2 linked regions of the Saccharomyces cerevisiae S288C genome follow. The protein of the gene in region 1 purifies or fractionates together with the protein of each later gene. This does not show direct contact. Each region holds a gene or a part of one and is shown in the gene's direction. Other genes may lie near its edges.

Evidence for each region.
Region 2: the proteins of PMP1 (region 1) and AIM14 purify together in Saccharomyces cerevisiae (affinity purification with mass spectrometry, with the first as the bait; one large-scale study listed by BioGRID). This does not show direct contact.

The regions. Positions count from the first base shown.
Region 1 is NC_001135.5:162,286-164,923, reverse strand, and holds PMP1 (proteolipid ATPase), read left to right. Parts: upstream 1-1,856; coding exon 1,857-1,979; downstream 1,980-2,638. Other genes in the region: nucleotide diphosphatase/phosphodiesterase NPP1, read left to right, coding at 1-813; YCR025C (uncharacterized protein), read left to right, coding at 1,068-1,478; YCR024C-B (uncharacterized protein), read left to right, coding at 2,059-2,325.
Region 2 is NC_001139.9:198,729-202,792, forward strand, and holds AIM14 (putative metalloreductase), read left to right. Parts: upstream 1-1,832; coding exon 1,833-3,545; downstream 3,546-4,064. Other genes in the region: SUT1 (Sut1p), read left to right, coding at 1-309; YIP5 (Yip5p), read right to left, coding at 482-1,414; YGL159W (uncharacterized protein), read left to right, coding at 3,993-4,064. UniProt on the Saccharomyces cerevisiae protein: Probable cell surface metalloreductase. May be involved in iron or copper homeostasis.

The DNA.
Region 1 (2,638 bases):
TCTATAGATGAAGACAAGTATACGGTTTACGTTAATGGAAATTTCCCCAAAGAATGGAACTTTAATGATGGAAAAAATCATCACATGGCGTCAATCTGGATTGTGCCCGAGCCTGGGTATGCAGTGATGAAGAAAGAACAATTGAAGAAGGTGGCAAAAGGTGATCATAAGGACAAAAACGAAGACAATGTGTTCACGATTGGATCACATGGATACGACAATAACGCGATCGATATGAGATCTGTATTTATTGGTATGGGGCCATATTTTCCACAGGGATACATTGAGCCGTTCCAAAATACCGAAATTTACAACCTTTTGTGTGATATTTGCGGTGTGGCAGAAAAGGACAGAAATTCCAATGATGGGACTGGGATGCTTATGAACCAACTCCGCGAACCCCAGAGCAGCGAAGAAGTAGAGATTGAAGATGACTTTGATTATTTGGTCAGTAAGTTTGGTGAATTCAGCACTTATAATATAATTTGGGGCGGGTACCCCGAAGAGACAGAACAAGACAATGTTGACAATGATAATGATGACAACGACGATGGAAACACTGATGAAATAGCCGCTATGCCATCTTCGTCATTAACGATAAAACTAGAAATGACAACTTCAATACCATCAGCAACTGAGACTCTACTGGGCGAAACATCACCATCATCAAGAAGCAGCAGCAGCAGCAGCATACAAGCTAGCGCTACTGCTAGCACAGTGGGGGATTGGCTTCAAGACATAATCAACGACGCAAAAGATCTCATTGACGACATAATTGACAGCATCGACGATTTAGTCGATTCTGATACCTAAGCTTAAGGTGGGACAACCGCGTTATGAAATAAAAGACGCATCCTTGTGAGTCCCGCGCAAGAAAACATATGCACGCAGAAAGAGACTTTTATTTAGATTTAGTATATCTCTAAACTTAATTCAGAAGTGAACCACTCTCTCACATCCGATGACAGTGGGGTCAATAAGATGTACTAAGTAAGAAAACTAATTACACAATAAAAAGAAACAAGCTGAAACTAGGCGTGTTAACTCTTTCCTAAACGAGGAGGTTTATGTCGTCATTTGGACATCGAGCATTTTTCAGCTGTTGTCCTTTACTAGAAGGAGAAACTTTGCATTCAATAAAATTGCGCAAAGAGGCAACATACCAAACTCAATCCGGGTGGCCGGTTCGATGGCCGATTCGGTATCCGCGCGCACTTCCCCTAGAATCCCACGTGCACCCATACCATATGATCGTTAAATTACCGCACCCACGCACCCAACCGCGGCTGTTTCTATGGCTGTCGTTGCATTGGACAGGAATTCCTTTTTTGGGAAAGCCGGGAATAGGTCGCAATCGGGTAAAATCAAAACAATTTTCGCATTTCCAACAGAGTAAAATCAAAACAACTATGAGAAAAAAAACAACAAACAGAAAGCAGAAAGCAGAAAGATGTCAATATAGACTTGTCACTGCGTAATAGAAGATAGCTTCAATTTTTTCCGATAATAATTTCCCATTTTTTTTTTTCAAATTTAGCCTTCCGTGCTTGCCAGTATATAAAGCTTTGAAAGCAATTTATTGTTTCTCTTGTAATCTTAACTTCCCTTTTTTTCTCTTATTGCGTCTTATCTTCCTTTAGAGTTTTTCATTACTACCCTTTTTCCATTTATTCTTTTTCCCTTTCAATAGTATTTAAAGGAAGACGCTACACACTTTGAAGGAAGAGCAAATAAGTTAACTTTTTCATCTCTTTTTTTTTCTCAACTTCAAACTAGTCACTCAAGCAAACTTTTGTTCCTACATATCCTTTGTTTGTTTCTCCTCTTCCCATTTCAGCACTTTTAATCTATCATAAATGACTTTACCAGGTGGTGTTATTTTAGTTTTCATTTTGGTCGGTTTGGCTTGTATTGCCATTATTGCTACCATTATCTACAGAAAATGGCAAGCTAGACAAAGAGGATTGCAAAGATTCTAAAAAGGGCGGAGCGAGCCATTTTATTTCCTGTCCCCTTCATCTTTGTTTATATCCATTCTAGAACATGAATTAGACTACTATGTGTGTGTGTGCGATACCCTTTTTTGAATTCTTTCTACCTTTTATCCCTCACTATGCCTTTCTTTTATTTGTTTCGTCCGTTCGCTTTACTGTAAATGAACGTTGTTACTACTTAGTGTGCGTGCTCAAGTTGAATTGTGCTTTTTTTTTTATGGTTATGATATTTGAACTAAAACGAGTGTGTGTTTCGTATTTAGACAGATCCCGTAAAATCCAAATTGTTAGCTTTTTTCCTTTTATCACTATTATTTTTTTCCACTCTTAACAATGTGTGTGATTGTTAAGTCTGGCTGATGACTCCTCATGATAACTCATGTGTGTGTAAAATTGAGTTTTTCATGGTTGTTTTCAAAGATAAATTACATAGTAGTGTAATCAAAATAGTGTATGATTTTTTTTTATTTTTAGAAAATCTAAATAATAAATAAATAAAAAATAAAATACAATCCTTACAGAGATTAGGCCGTCGAGTGTGGAGTATGAGTATGCACAACTTATAGTTATGATCTACTTTTTCTCGTCCTGATTTTTTATCTTTTTTATATTATAGGAAAAAAAGAAAACGTACCACAATTTAA
Region 2 (4,064 bases), on another chromosome or scaffold:
GACGATATTCGGCTATATCGAGGCACGCTGTTGCGGAATATTGCCATACCGGATGATGTCATTGAGGGTACAGGCTCACGCAAGTTGATTAAGCATATTGATAAGTTGGTTTTGCTCACACCTTGTTTACCATGCATTAAGAAAAAGCATTCTTCTTCTTCCACTAATTTCCCAAAAAATGATAAATGTACTTTTTCAAAAGGCTTTACCAGAGCTGACATAAACATTTCATCCAAAATCTCCTTAAAATTTAAGGATAAAACCATTTACGACATAACCTATGATGACTATAAAAGCATTGATTTTTAGACAAAGGCATCTCTAATGAATAGCATCACAAAACTTGCATTTAGCATTAACATATATGGATATATATGTACACACAGAAAACGTATAAACACTCATGTATAACCCTACATAATAAGAGTATACAATGATACTAGTCATAAAAAGTATTGTGTGTATAGACGTGCGCATATTTTCAAAATATTATAAACCTGAACAATAGACAGAATAAAGTATGCAGCGCAACGACAACGATGATGGACAGCGAAAATTTCCCGTTCGATTGTGTCTCCGTATTATTATTACTCGATATTTGAGAATTCAAGAAATAAGACGACTGTGCCCACCCAAGAGCCACAATTGCCCATTGAATTGCTTGAACAGTCCTCAGGCGCTTGGACATATCCAATATATTCAATATAACACAAACGGGTATCCAGATCAAGTTAGCGTACCCGTAAACGGAAATCAATTCAGGAACACTTTTGAAGCTTCTATTGCGCTCCGAGTGCTCATCTCTATTCAATACTTGCATGGTAATAAATGGTACGCCGAACGTGTACCCGTAAAATAGCCAAATAGAATGCAGTAGCTTCTTAAACTGACTGGCCCTGTCGATGTCCTCACCAGTCTTGACGCCCTCAATTACGTCACTGATAATAAAATTTAACCCCCTACTCATGGTAAAATTGATCATTACCACCGTGGCAGTGATCCATACAGCACCGTATAAATCAGTGTTATCTTCGTTACTTTCGGAATTATGATCGTTTCTAAACGTCAGTACCGCGGACAATCTCTTTTTGAACTGCGTCAAATCGATCTGGAAGTATTTAGAATAGTAGTTTATCAATCCTGGCCTCAATCCATTACGCCCAAGACCGTCGTTGTCATTCTGTCCTATCACTTGGTCGTACGCTGGTGGGTCCATTTGACCCTGTAATGGTGCGGATTCTGCCTTACTGCCCGTTGTGTTATAAAATTCGCTACCCTTTCCAGCAGTCGAGTTATTCATGTTTGGGCTATCAGGTACGGTGGCATCATCAAATGGGTTGGGCTCGTTGCCAAAATCATCTACACCCTCGAGATCATCGTCAATATCTAAAAAACTGCTATTATTGGACGGCATTTTTCTGCTTTTGTCGAGTCAATCCTATTTGCTAGTATACAATCGTGGATGAAGCGTAAAAAAGAACTACAGAACCAATGCGTTTGGATCCAATGTGGTCGCTGCCCTTGGCCCCTTTTACCTTGAGCGTAGGACGTTGATACATTTTCACTGCTTGAGAAATTAGGTATAATACACAGCCGGGTAAATAGCGTTTAATTGATCGCTGCTCCGTAATACCGATATACTGTTACGTTATGTATTGAAAATACAGTTTAACTATTATTTGTAGGGATACTACTATGGGGTCTCAACCGCACTTAAAGGCGCTAAAATATTTTGACTTTTCCTTCCTTATATTGTAGACGTGTTATTTAAAAACTACATTTTCCATATCTCGTCGCCAGAAACTTCTAATTTGGTAAGCCTTCCAATAAATATGAAAGAATCCCCTCTCATAACGTTGGTTAAAAGACATTCCGAGACACATTTTGCCAATATCAAGTATGGGTATTATGTGTTGATAATATCATTGGTCTATCTCATTGGATTGGCTCTTTTGAGAGCTTTCGGAAGGAGAACCCCATCCAGATCGTCGTCAGCTTTCAAAAATAAGATAATTTATCGGTTGTATGATATAGATCCTGCAATTCACTTAGGTATATTGTTTTTTGCAGTCTTGATTCCATTTTATTACCATTACTCTTTGACTACCCAATCTACGGTCTATCTCAAAAGATTAGGGAGGTTGAGTTACGCCTTGATCCCGCTGAACCTATTCCTCACTTTAAGGCCTAATTGGTTCCTTAGGAAAAATTGCACCTACACTGATTTTATACCGTTCCATAAATGGTTTTCACGTATTATCACCGTGATTGGTTTGCTTCATGGGATTTTCTTCATCATTAAGTGGGCGATAGACGATAATGTCTCTCTAAAGCAAAAATTGATTCTGAAAACTTTCAATTTTGCGGGATTCATAATATCAATATTGGTACTTTTTTTACTTATTTGCTCGATTGGGCCAATGAGAAGATACAACTATCGTTTGTTTTACATCGTACATAACCTGGTGAACGTGGCCTTCATCTTACTCACCCCAATACACTCTAGGCCAGGTGTTAAGTTCCCATTTCTTCTACTAAACTGTACCCTATTATTCATTCATATTATCAATAGAATAGTATTTGCGAAATCCTTGATGATTTTGAATAAGAATGCGAATTATTCAAAAACAAATTTAGTCCATGTAAGATTGCCCAGGGCTATTCTTCCAGATTATTTTGAACCAGGGTCGCATATTAGAATAAGCCCTTACAGAAGAATTAATCCCCTCTATTGGTTGCTACCATCGCATCCATACACAATTGCGTCTTTGGCAGAAGACAATTCAATTGATCTTATTATAAAGGAAACCTCTACAGCCGAGCCAGGTAGCCAGATAGAGTCTCTTCGTAGTAATCCAAAATCCTTTCATTTAGATCAAGAAAAAACCTATACTTTGATTAATAGTTATCCTCCCTCTGTACCCGAAGAATGTTATTCTCAAGGCACGAATATAGCTATTATATGTGGTGGGTCTGGTATATCTTTTGCCCTACCACTATTTAGGCATTTTTTTAACAAGGAGAATGTAAAATACTTGAAAATGATCTGGCTGATAAAAGATTACTCTGAATATGAACTTGTTTTGGATTATCTCAAGACAAATGGGTTGACTTTTGAGAAAAAACTCTCGAATAATAAGAGGATTTCAGTATTTATTAGTGGAGAATACACGGCGGAAACACGGTTAGACGAAATTACGACCAATATCGACGATGAAAACTCAGAATATGAAATGGGATCTTTCAACAATGAAGACGAAGACCTTTCGATTTCTAATTTCAATTCAGAAAATGCGGACAGCAATGACAATACGCCAGAGACAAGTCATAGCCCCACAAAAGAGAATGGAAGCATGATCGAGGTAAAATCCAAACACAGTTTTACTCTTTCCAACGAATTGAAGAGCTTCAACAATGAAAGTGCACAAGTGAACCAAAATGAAACATGGTTGTTTTCATGTGGTCCTCCCTCGTTATTACAATTGTCTAAAAAATATTGTAACGATGAAAGGATCAACTTTGTCTGTGAGACTTACGGATTATGAGGGGAAAAGAAAAGAATAATAATGTCTTACGCAATATGCTCGGAAATGATATTCCACGACATTAGATGCTAATTTATAGTATATAGAAAACAAAAAATACATATCTGTTTTTTAATGACCTTTAGTTTATATGCTTTCTTGCGCGGCTATTAGAATACACTTGACAGGTTGTACGCATTATTAATCGGTAAATGGAGATATATTAGAGATGATCGTTTTAAAATGGAGGCTGTCTGCAAAAAAATTGGGAGCTACATTAGCAAAAAGCTTCTTTTCTTGTTGTTCTCGGTTTATATTTCAAGAGGGCAGTAGGAAAAAGGATCGAAAAGCTCGGCCTGTGGCCATGTCCTCTAAAAATCAAATATAATTTACTGGCCAACGTTATCGGCTCTTTTTGATATCTATCATCTCTTTAGCTATTGTTATCTGGCAACTGATTCAACTGATATGAACAATTCCATAATTACTGATGATGAGGTTAGAGAGTTTTACTTAAACTGCTCTTCTCAAACAATTATT